Linked DNA regions of Nothobranchius furzeri. The protein of the gene in region 2 interacts with the protein of the main gene of each other region in a pairwise test. Links are inferred from orthologs where the notes say so. Each region holds a gene or a part of one and is shown on either strand. Other genes may lie near its edges.

Region 1 (4,443 bases), on a different chromosome or scaffold from region 2:
GTACTTTTTACCATCCAAAAACAATATTACACTATATTAAATTGACACTAGTTGAAGCCTGTAAAGCCTGTAAAGATACCCCCCCCCCCCCGTGTCCCCCCCACTTCTAAAGTGAAAATTACGTCCATGCTGTTAATTACATATCCACATTTCACCCAACCTTTCTGTTTATGGGCTGTGCAGATATAAATTTTTCAACTTCTCGTTTTTACGTTCAACAGTCTACAGAGTAAGATTTCTTTCTGTCATGTAAATAAAGAAAAGTGAGAAAATGTGTGCGTGCAGCTCATGCTCTGCCTATTTCTATGGGGTGCCTTTTGTAACGTCAGTAAGACTTTTATTGCTATATTTAGTTTTTTTAACCTGTTCTAAGAGAAAAAAAATGGGAGTTCAGATTTCAAAGTCATATTTTCACCATGTTGTTTATAAATGTTAAAGTTCCAAACTAAATATGTATGTCCAACCTAAATATCTGTTTTCAAACAAATTATTAAACTACTAACTAAATATTTTTGCTTGGATCTAAATATTAATTTTGGAGATAATATTTAGTTTACAAACAATATGCTTAGCTTCAAATTAGAGATTTACTTTTCAAAATAAATATTCAAGTTTTAGCTAAAAATTTATTTTGGAGCTAAATATTTTGGTTGGAAATTATATATTTATGTCCAACCTAAATATCTGTTTTCAAACTAATTATTCAAACTACTAACTAAATGTTTAGTTTGGATCTACATATATCCATATCTTGTTTACAAACAATATATTTAGCTTCAAATTAGAAATTTTATTTTAAAAATTCACATTCAAGTCCCAGCTAAATATTTATCTTGGAACTAAATATTTAGTTTGCAAAATAAATACTTAGTTTGGAAAATAAATATTTAGTTCCAAAATTAATATTTAGCTTGCTAAGAAATATGGCTGTGTGATAGAATCTCAATCAGGCTGTCGCAGTTGATGTGTCCTTGAGCAAGAACCCATGTTGCCTGCTGGTGATCGGAGACAGCTGTCACAGCATCCAGGGCAGCTGCTGCTTTGTAGTAGCCCATCACCACCAGTGTGTGAATGGGTGAATGACTTGATGTGTTGTGAAACACTTTGGGTGTTGTAGATCACTAGAAGGTACTATACAAACACAAGCCATTTACCATTTTATTCTCCTATCACTGGTTAAATAATACAAAATATTGCTTTTAAATTGTGAATTTTTGACTTTACAAATTGCACCCCATATGTTTTCATGAGACCTGTCATAAAGCAAGGACGGTTAATCAATGCCAGCACTGCTGAAGAAACTCCTGCAACTAATTTTTGCACAAACGTCAAATTAAATCGTTTGAACAAATAACTGCAGATTGAGCGAAAGGAGCTCTCTAAAAGGTGGATGATGATGGAGTCTTAAAGTGAACTTTCCTTAAAAGCAGTGAAAGTTGTTAATGTGCATTAGTGTACATGCAGGCAATGGGCTTAAATCAGTAGCTACAGTTTACATGAAAGTGGAAGCTCACCTTGCGCTTGTGATGCTCAGGTCTCACAGTATTCTTAAAGGAGGAATAAAAACAAAAACACAGCTTTACTTGTTGGTTCTAGAACTACCACCACCAAGGAACGTATTCTACCCTGTTGAAAAAATATATATCTATATATCTATATCTATATATATATATATATATATATATATATATAGATATAGATATATATCTATATATATACATCTATATATATACATCTATATATATATATATATATATATATATATATATATATATATATATATATATATATACACACACACACACACACAGGTGGAACATTTAAAATCAATGTGTGTGTGTGTGTTTTTTTTTACCTGAGCCTTAAAATGAATCTAATTAATTTTTGTAGAAAAAAAAAACAAATTGACTAACAGGGATGGATGGGGAGAAGAAAAGTGAATACACTGATGATCACATTCCAATAATGTCCTGCTAATTGTAGGACCCTGGCCAACATGTGACCCACATAATGCCTCAGACAAGTCTCTACAACATGCACCAGCCACAAGTACACAAAAGGTATTTATTGGAATAGAAATTTTGTGTTTAATTATGTTAGAGAGTTTGTTAAATTCTTGTTGATCCAAATAGAAGAAAAGCAGCTTTATGATATGTTACACGATGAAAAGTTAGTTTATTTATGTTCAAAAGCTTTATTAAGTGTGCAGTGGTGAAGTGATTAATATTATATTTAAAGCTGGACTTGTTTTAAGTACAAGTGTTGTTTTGGTCTGGTAATGACATTTAATCAGCCTCAAGCTGTTGATACTATTTCTAAACTCCAGAGAAGGGATTATAATTTGAGGTTGACGTTTTTCCCAGTTTCTGAGAGTTCCATGCTAAAGTAAACCTGACAGGTGAATGAGAAATATTAATGATAATGATAATAATGCTAGGGCAGACCTTGGTTTCCTGCCGGCTCGCGCTCGTCGTCGGGGATTTGGGAGTCTCATCCTGGTCCCGTTCGTCCTCTTTGTCCTGACTCTCGTCCTGAACTGCGTTAGCTGGCGGGATCATCCCCTCTTTCTGTGATCTCTTTAAAAAAAAACGCACACACACACACACACACACACACCCGCACAGCTGAGTTTGTTTCCTGTCAAAGCAACGTTTCCACTCCTCAGTCACAGTAACCCGGGATAAGAGGAGTCACCTGCGCCAGACAGAATCCGACAGCAAAGAACAACCACAAAAAAGAAAAATGAATAAATAAATAATTAAATATTTTCTAGCGTCTGGAAAAAGGTGGAATTCGATTAAAGAAGAATTAACAGCATCCCAGCTGTCCCGTGTGCGTGAATGGAGGTTTTCAGCTTTCTTGTTGCGTCATGCGTAAACCATCCAAAGACGTCTCCAAAAGCACGCCGCGCGCCTCTCTCTGCCAAACTGCCTCCTCAAGTGGATTTAAGGGAGGAGAGGGCTGGAAGGAGGGGGGAGACGTGACATATTCACTCCGTCTTGTCAAAAATTAGAAACGACGAGCGTTCAGAGAGGACGCCCACAACTGTCAGATTAGTCCACGTGGTCTGTTTCCAGAGCTAACTCACTCATTAAAATATTGTTGGATGAAATGTTCTCATTGGTTCTTCACCCCTGCTGAGAAAGATTTAGGACTAGCGTGCCCAGAAAAGAAAAATCAATATGGTCCAGCTATTTTGAGGAGTTTAATGATGCAATCTGGTGTTTTCAATCATAATGTTAAAAGAAATTTAAAAAAGACAAATAATTGGGAATTTTCTGGTAAAGAAATAAAAGTTTGGGAATTTAGAAACGTAACGTTGTTCACTTTATTTATTTAAATCATGATCTAGGCTTCTAAGATATTTTTCATTTAATTTATTTATTTGTTATAAAATCGTAGACACTACACAGTAAAATTGGGATAAGCAAATAAAATAAAAATTGGGATAAACAAAAGACCATGCTATAAGAAAAGGTCACGTGACACATAATACTGTACATATGATTTAAATATATGAGATATTATTTGGTATTATTATGACTCTCAGAAACTATTTTCGACATTCAAAACTCTGCTCAACCCTTCGTCTCCACCTCCTACCAACAATCTGCTGACACGTTTGCCTCATTCTTCACTGACAAAGTGGCAGCTATAAGCAAACAGTTTACTCAACTGGTCACTCCTGAACATTCACTACCACAAACTCCTTGTAGTCCAACCATCTCAGGCCCTACTGTTTCATTTTCCTCTTTTTCCCCTCTCACTGAGAACTGTGTGTCCAAGCTTCTCATGTGCAGCCGCCCTACTACATGCCCACTTGACCCCATTCCGACTAAGCTGCTCCAAGCTATTGCTCCTACAGTAGCCGCAGCAGTCACACATGTGATCAATGCTTCACTGACATCCGGTACATTTCCCACCACTCTCAAGCATGCTCAGGTTGAACCGCTGCTAAAAAAAAAACATCTCTTCCTCCACATCATGTGGAGAACTACCTACTGTCACGATACGGTGGTGTGGACCCAAAATGCAGTACCCAGGATGACACGGAGGCAGGGATGAAGATTTTAAGAAAAAAGTCTTTATTTTGTGGGTGAGCCAAAAACCAAGGTAATCCAAACTGGGAGTCAAAATCCAAAAAAGCCAAAAATCCAAAAGGTCAAAAAAAAAAAAAACAGATTACTATCTGGGGATCAAGAAACTCTGGTTAAACACAGAGGGACTAAACTGACAGAATCAACAAACATTAATGGACCGACAAGAACACAGAGACAGACAGGGCTTAAATACACTGGGAGGAGCAATCAGGGAAAATGGCAGCAGGTGTGTGAAGTGAGAGCTGGAGGGAAGACAGGTGAACCTAATAATCAAAATGGGAAACAGAAACAGAGGGCCAAATAACCCTAAGAAACTAAGACACCAAAACTAAACCTAAAGGCT
Region 2 (4,195 bases):
ACAAGCACACACACATAGGGAGGTCCTGTCAGTGAATTTAAACATCAAATGTCATTCTCTACTGAAAGAAGGGTGTTCCTTCTGCACCTTTACACACTTTAACAGTTTATCATCTTTTCTGATCAGCAATAAAAGGTCAATAGTTCAGTTTTCACCAAATAAGGACACTTTCCCTAACTTGTACTGGAACATTTTAGTTATGTTGTGTCCATCTATCTTCTGCTTCTCATTTACATCTGCTTCAGACATACATTTCCTGTTATTTATTATGAACTTCATCACAAGTTCTGCTCAAGTCTGAACTGTAACTACGGCAACCTACTGGACTCTTGCTGTCTGGAGAGCAGTTTGCATCTATTCTGCAACACTTCTGCAAAGTATCACAAGTCACACTTCCTGTAAAGGAAATCTCATTAACATACACATGTGAGCTATAAAATAGTCATAAGACTTTTGAATAATACTTCCACATTATATATGAAGATTTAATGATTGAGCAACACACTTTAAACTGCGCAATTAGACTGAAAATGATTATACTAACTAAAACTGAAAATTACCCTAGATATAAGTAACCATTTTGAGGCTAACCTTAAGTAAATCTAAGGAAATTGAACCGACGAACATTCATAAAGCATCAATAAAGCGGGAAATTTAAACCTTCAGTGAAATAAAAACACTAAAACACTTTATTAAATACTATAAAATAATGCTATACAACTTTAATAAGGCTAATTATCAAAACAGACATCACCTTTATAACACTTTCAATTCAATATCACACCAACTTTTAACTCTGCAATTGACCTTATTTTCTTTTTTAACTAATAGGATTTCTATACTTTTGTTGAAAAAATTAAATTACCAAGAGAAAGCAGGAATTGTATTGGAAAAGGACAGAAATCCTCGAGTCGACCTCTGGAAAAGCATCCTGCTGCACACCGCAGTGGCCATGTTGACGAGTATAACAGGGGAACGGAATTCTCTGTGACACCATTAAGGCAGCTGCTTCCGGTGCTATGCACAGCACAATCGAACATTTCTTATCTCGCCAACAGTGTGTGTGTGTGTGTGTGTGTGTGTGTGTGTGTGTGTGTGTGTATTTAATACATATATAATTCAACTCTTTCTGAAACAAATAATGTAACATTGAAACATATTTACAAGGATTCAAAATGCTGAAATCCTTTCTGCAAATGTAAGATGGAAGAAAAACTATCTCTATCCCTGCGTGTGTACAACACCGTAACCTTACTTTAATCGTCAAGTAAAATGTTTTTACATTTTACATCATTTAATTGTAACTTCATAAATGTTTCCACTTCAAATGAAAATAAATGTATTACACATTTTTCACAATCAAATTAGATTTTAGCTCTGGGTTTGATTAAACTGTCTGATAGGCGTATTTAGGGTGTATCAGTGCCCCCTGTGGCCTGTTCTGGTAGCGCTCGCTCAGGTCAGATGATCCGAGCTACATTGTAAATAGACATGAGCCGCTCACCGTAGACTTCATGGGCTCTTTAAATCACCCCTGCGGAGCAGATCTTTTCATTCGGTTTTTGTTTCATAACAGGTTATTTCTGTGTCACTTTTCGGTTTGTTACAGATAAACTAAATCATGTATCGGTCTCTGTACGCCTTCCGATCCGTGGAGCCCAACTCACTGCACTTCGCGGCCGGAGAGAGCTTTCTAATCCTGGAGAGAAGCAACAAACACTGGTGGTTGGGGTCCCGCTGTAGCTCCGGGGAGACCGGCTACATCCCTGCTTCTTACATCGAAAAGATTCAGGTAAAACTCACTTTTAACCCCCGTTTTTGCCTATTTAGTGAATAGAGGCGAGGCGTGGAGTGGAACCCTGAGAGTGGTGCTGTCTGCAGCAGGGCAGGCCAAGAGCAAGCTGTCTAGTCAGGTGGAAATCGCATGCATTAATTTATTATAAAGGCTGCAGGTCGAAAAGCTGCTGAGAGGACACAGGGTGGGACAGCAACAGATAACAGAGACAAGAAAGCATTGTTTTCCTCTCCTCGTGGTCACACCCCTGGTTATATCGCAGGAACTAGTCAGAGCTTGTAGGCTGTGTCACAAGAAGAGAGCTCCCTCCTGTACTTGATAACACCGTCTGTGCAGCTTTAATTAAGCCTGAATGTAGGGTGTTGTTAGATCACAGTCCCATTTTTTCCCAGCTTGTCCCAGTTTGACCCAGTCACACACTTAATAATCCTGCATGCTGCCACAGTAATGAATGTTTCATCCCTTCAGCTTCTGTCGATGTGTTTGTGCCAGGCTCCACAGCAAGACGAGGTCCTGCAGTCCATCGATCGAGCCATAGAAGGGATCCACAATGTGGCCTTAAAGAACGGAGGCAAATACAACCTGGAGCAACGAGATGTCCTGCAGTGAGTCCAAGTCAACATCAGAAACATGGTGGGGATTCTGATGGAGGATTTATGAGTACTATTGTTTATGTTTTTAATCTGTGACACAGAAAGCTGATCCATCACAGGAAAGAGACGCTAGCTCGGCGAAGTTCCTCCTCCATCGGACACAAACCCAACATCCCATGTTCCAGCAGTGAAATCACCCTCAGCCAGACCCCCCCTCCGCCCAACGGCCTCAACAGGGACTATGGAAGACAGGGAGGCGTGCCGTTATCAGGGAGCATGGACAGCATGCAGGGAGAGCCCTGCTGTTACCAGGTGATATTAAAGATGGGCTCACAAGGTCTGCAGGGTTTGTGTGTGTAGAAACTAAATAGCTGTTGGGAACTTTAAAAAAATGAAACATTTCTTCTTTTTTAATCTTCAATCAAGCAAATAACTACATGCAAATAATTTCTCACACTGGTTAAAAAAAGTTGCTGACAGGAAACAGGTTTTATTAATAGTAACACAAAACAGGATTGACATATTATCACGTTTTAGAGAAATTTTAAACATTTTTCATTCCTGGTAATCATGTCCTGTTCTTCCCCTTTTGCAGGTGCCCCCCCAGCCTCGGCGTGCTGCTCCCATCACCCCCCCTCCTCCTGAGAAACAGAGAAACCAACGGCGTCCAGGTTAGTTTGGACTCCTTCGTCCCCGAACCCTCTGCAGTGTGATGATCTTGCAGCTCTTTTATTTCACAAACTTTCTATTCTTAGTCGGGTCACCCCGCCCTCTTGGCCCATTCACTTTCACCTCCTTGTAATCTGACCCCCCCCCCCCCCCCCCCCCCCACACACACACACACCATCACCCCTCCCTCTCTCTCTGTCTGTCTGCAGAGCCGGAGGTCCCCTCCAGAGTTTCCTCTCTGCCTGCGTCTCCTGCTCCCTCCCTGACCATCAGCAGCACCTCCACGGAGTCCGGCTCCTCCCGCTCTTTGGCTTCCTCTGATGTCAGTCTGCCGAGTGTTTCCAGCACTCCCCCTCCTCCTGTGCCATCCCGCATGAAGCCCTCTATGCCAACTGCAGACGTGCCTCCGTCTGAAAATCCTCCTGTGAGGAAAAGCCCAGCACCGCCACCCCCGCAGCACCCCGGGCCCACCAAACACACCAAACCCGACGCTCCCGTCCTGCTCATCGCGCAGCAGAACCCATCAGAGATTACCGAGTGGCCCCCTGCCCCTGCCTCTGTTTCAGAGAGCCCACCTGGGAGCCCCGCCGCATCGGAGCCGGTACCCATGAGCGTTGGAGCAGAGTTAATTGAGCTGGTTCGGAAGAACACGGGTCTGAGTTACGAGCTGTCTCGGGTCGCTGTTGGAGTGGTGGTGGGCCACCTGCAGACGGCTTTACCCCGATCCTCCTCCGACTTGGAGCGTGTTCTCCTGACTCTGGTGGAGAGCAAGGTCAGACTTGCTTTCGTTCAGCACTTCTGAGGGTTTAGAGTTACAGCTCTGTTGGCCTTCAGCTGACCTAATAAAAAAAAAAGTTTCTGTTTTAAATCTGCCAGGCATCAAACTTGAGCTGAAAGAGGAACTGAATGTTGCAGCTTCAAATCCCATCATTTATTTTTAGCAACATGTGCAAATGAAGACCTCTTTCACACTTCCACCACAAACACCTGTAAGCACCACAGCCGCACGGCCAAACGCAATCGCCCGCTGCCTCTTTCAGTTTAAAACTACGAACATCTGATGATGAGAAACGATGGTGTTGCAGCTGTTTGTGGTGAAATCTGGTAAACGTGTGTGTTCAGTCAGCGCTCAGATTAT
Region 3 (3,627 bases), on a different chromosome or scaffold from region 2:
GGTATAATTGAGGTGTGGGGAGTCAGTCTCAGCTTTTTTAACAATATAGTTGATTTAACAAGGTGGACAGTTACTGTTTCACACGGGTCCAGGATGGTCAGGATAACTTTTTTCCACTAATCAGTTAAATCATTTTGAAAACTACATTACTTTGTATTTAATCAAGTTATCTGCTGACCTGAAACATTTGTCAAAAATGTAAAACTTGGTATTGGGGGGGGGGGGGGGGGGAATACTTTCTCACATCTCGAGCTGTTTATTAGTCCAACACATAGGATAGATAAATATGGACTTCATGTTAGGTCACTCAGCATCCTCCCAGCTTGGTCTTAGGAGTGTGTCTACATCATGCCTTTATCGGAGCTGAATGCTAGCCATAACAGATGAACTGTTAATTAAAGGTCACATTCTGTGTGTTAATCATCCACAGAAGTAAATAGAAGTGCTGCAACACTTTGTTTATATAATCTATACCACTCTCATTCTTTGGACAGTTCTTAAGAGTTTCCACTCATACTAAAAAAACATGTCAGTGTATAGCCACTCAGATTTTTTTTTATTCAGGATGAAATTCAAAGAATTGAAAGATTTCAATCCAGCAAAGGATGATGTGGATTATCTCTGGACTGGAACGATGTTACACCTGTGAAGGAAAAAAAGACAAGATTTCCATATAAATGATGATGAAACCACTAATTATTGTGCGTACAAAAGAGAATTCTATCATTAAACACAGAAGAAAAATGAAAAGTACCATGAGTGTTTGGGGTTTTTATTGTATTATCTGCCTCATATGCTGTGTCTCTGAAGCACTCACCCCAGCAGGCCCCTGCCTGACCACCGCTGTGGAGTCAGGCTCATCTGAGCTTTTTGGCCAGACCTGATCACAGAGACCCGAAGAGGTTTCTGAAAAAGAAACACATAATAATACGCATCAGGAGAGACGGATAGTCACTGTAAAGGTAAATATGAATTATATCCACCGGAGGAATATCAGTAGAAGTAACAAAAACTTACTCCTTCGCTGTGCTGCACCACAGCAGCAATGTTTTGGAGGTTCTGAAAATTCTCCGTGTTCACAGAACCAAACTCGATGATTTCATCCCCCAGCCTGAGGCCCTTTGAAAGAAAACAATTGCTATCAAAGGAACAGAAACATTTATCAAATTCAAACTGTTAAGAAAATATGCCTTAATAAATATTTAAAAAAACAAACTGTACAGCTCCAGAGGCAGGCGAGCCTTCGGTCACAGAATCCACTCGTGCAAACGGAGGAGGGAGAGTGACCTGCTGCTCCATGGCTTCCTCCTCAACCTCATCTTGACCACGCTTAGCTTTCTCTCGAGCATGTAGCTTGTGCAGGGCTTCCTCTATCTCTGCCATGATGGCTTTGTGGTCATTCTGCAGACCTGAAAACATCAACTATTTACAAACAGAAAATAATATACACATATACAGCTAAGACAAATGTAAGCATTTCATAATTAAATTATACTGAAATCTATTGTTAGTTCATTAATAATTTGAACTGATATGAATACTGGACTAAAAGTAGTGAGTGACTAAAACATAAGCCCTGAGTGCATATCTAGAAAAAAAACTAGAACATATGGCACTGGTCCTGATGATGGACGAGCATCAAAATAAAAAGCACCTTATATTAAAGATCATGTTAATAAATAGTAAACAAAATGAACCGAAGTTGATTATATTTTATTCAAGGTCTGCAGAATGAAAAATGAAGGTTGATAAATACCCGAACAAAAAGGAGACACCACAGCAGCTACAAAAGTCGCTCCCTGAGTTGATAAACACTAAAAAAACATTTAGTTACTTACATGAAATGTTGTGTCTCGCGTTTCTGATCTGGTACAAGTTAACATCATCTCGAGGGTAGCCCTCAGCGTCAACCAGGGGACCTTCAACTCCAACACCTTGCTGTAAACAAGCATCGTAAACAAGGTAAAAACATAATTAGCACACAGAATAAATAGTTACCCACTGATGGCGTCTACAAGCTAACTTACGTCTTCCAAAACGTCATAATAAGCTTTAATCTGTTCTTCTATTTCATCTTTCTTCTTAATGAGGTTTTTAACGTCGTCCATGGTTATAGCAGAGCTTCCACAACTGTTGTTTTCTTCTGTTGTTTTCATAGCTGCTGAGTTGTATCTGCTGAATTCTTCCGGCTACAACACTTCTGGCAATTGTGGTTCCGCTGCAGCGCCGCCGCCTGGCCAAATTGTGGAGAAAATGTACAAGGTAAGAAGAAAGTTGTACTAAACAAGAAATTATTCAAAACATCAATTACTATGTATTACATCGTTTGTATAAACTACACGTTGCTACACATTGCGCTGCGTAACTGTACACACTTTTAATGTTTAATTAAGGGAGGGAAATTGTCGCCCTTCTGGTTCTGTTAAATAATTCAGAAGAGATCATTTTAGCCTCCTTATCAAAATTATGTCCTTTTGGAAATATTTAAGTCATATTAATACAGAAGAAAAATGAGCAGGAGATGAGAAGAGTTGGAAGAGGGAATTACATTTATAAAATTACAATAGTTAGTAGATGCACTTCTGGTAAATTATTTCAAAATAAAACAGTATGGCACTTTAGTGTCAACAGGATAACTTGCTCCAGTCTTATTCTCTTGTCGTTCAGCTAAAAACACAATTAAAACTTAGTGTGTAACACGATGGTCAGACATAATATGAAGGAAAATGTCGCTCTCCAGTGGCTATATGCAGGAATTGTATCCTGGTTCTGAAACTGGAAAACCATCTCTATGAAGCTAACAAAAATAAGCTTTGTTTAATTTCTTCTTGAAAACATTAAGAACAAGGAACTACACTTGGATAATACAACTTACCTATATTTTTTGTTTTATTTTAAAATATACTTTCTTTTGGATTGCTAACACTCTAAAATATTCACCACTTCTTGTTATGAATTTTCCCACTGATCAAATGTTTCACATCAGTTCAAAACATTCTAGGATAAACACAAAATAATCAAACTAAACTTCAAATCACATTTCAGCTTTAATATATTATCAGGTACAATTATTGAACAAAATATATTACATTTTAATTATCTTCATACGTATTTTACTAGTTGTAAACAACTTTCACAAAAGGAAAAAAGGGGAAAGACAACAGCTCTATCATGTATGTGTTTCTCATCAACATGCCACAAACTTGTAGTGGTCAAAACCTGCTTTGTCACATTTGTTTTTACAGCAGTTAAGGTGTAAGCACTGTTAATGAAAAACTGCTAAGAGTTCTGTGATATCACTAAATACTATTTTCCCTGAGTACTTATATTTAATCGACTTTGTCACTAAATTGGAATAATCTCACAGAATTCATCCTAAAATGGGAAAAGTGAAAATTAGTTTAATTAATAAAAACACCTCACGAGACTTTCCAAAAGCTTCCTTCATCCTCATGTTGCTTATAAATATAATCTTCTCTTCAGATGAAACATGTGCAAAAGAACAAATCTTGTTTTTCCTGCAGCCCATGTGTGTGTTAATGATTAGGTGCCACATTCTGATTCTTTGGACCAACATGTTGATCGGAAGGCACTAGAATGGATTCTTCTTCATCCCTTCCTCTCGTG

What was found.
Region 1: the proteins of nckipsd (region 2) and stac interact in binary tests that used the Homo sapiens proteins (3 or more experiments, as listed by UniProt). The link is inferred for Nothobranchius furzeri from reciprocal best matches to the Homo sapiens genes NCKIPSD and STAC.
Region 3: the proteins of nckipsd (region 2) and psmd9 interact in binary tests that used the Homo sapiens proteins (3 or more experiments, as listed by UniProt). The two-hybrid records come from large-scale screens. The link is inferred for Nothobranchius furzeri from reciprocal best matches to the Homo sapiens genes NCKIPSD and PSMD9.

What each region holds. Positions count from the first base shown.
Region 1 is NC_091758.1:29,001,407-29,005,849, reverse strand, and holds the start of stac (SH3 and cysteine-rich domain-containing protein), read right to left. Parts: upstream 2,835-4,443; 5' UTR 2,695-2,834; intron 2,577-2,694; 5' UTR 2,559-2,576; coding exon 2,445-2,558; intron 1,548-2,444; coding exon 1,515-1,547; intron 1-1,514. UniProt on the Homo sapiens protein: Promotes expression of the ion channel CACNA1H at the cell membrane, and thereby contributes to the regulation of channel activity.
Region 2 is NC_091743.1:68,498,193-68,502,387, reverse strand, and holds the start of nckipsd (NCK-interacting protein with SH3 domain), read left to right. Parts: upstream 1-1,395; 5' UTR 1,396-1,621; coding exon 1,622-1,792; intron 1,793-2,287; coding exon 2,288-2,400; intron 2,401-2,489; coding exon 2,490-2,700; intron 2,701-2,983; coding exon 2,984-3,059; intron 3,060-3,266; coding exon 3,267-3,829; intron 3,830-4,195. Other genes in the region: ndufaf3 (NADH dehydrogenase [ubiquinone] 1 alpha subcomplex assembly factor 3), read right to left, coding at 866-954. UniProt on the Homo sapiens protein: Has an important role in stress fiber formation induced by active diaphanous protein homolog 1 (DRF1). Induces microspike formation, in vivo. In vitro, stimulates N-WASP-induced ARP2/3 complex activation in the absence of CDC42.
Region 3 is NC_091757.1:46,809,022-46,812,648, reverse strand, and holds psmd9 (26S proteasome non-ATPase regulatory subunit 9), read right to left. Parts: upstream 2,199-3,627; 5' UTR 2,157-2,198; coding exon 2,028-2,156; intron 1,939-2,027; coding exon 1,839-1,938; intron 1,410-1,838; coding exon 1,222-1,409; intron 1,120-1,221; coding exon 1,018-1,119; intron 907-1,017; coding exon 818-906; intron 644-817; coding exon 616-643; 3' UTR 538-615; downstream 1-537. Other genes in the region: rab5 GDP/GTP exchange factor, read right to left, coding at 3,537-3,627. UniProt on the Homo sapiens protein: Acts as a chaperone during the assembly of the 26S proteasome, specifically of the base subcomplex of the PA700/19S regulatory complex (RC).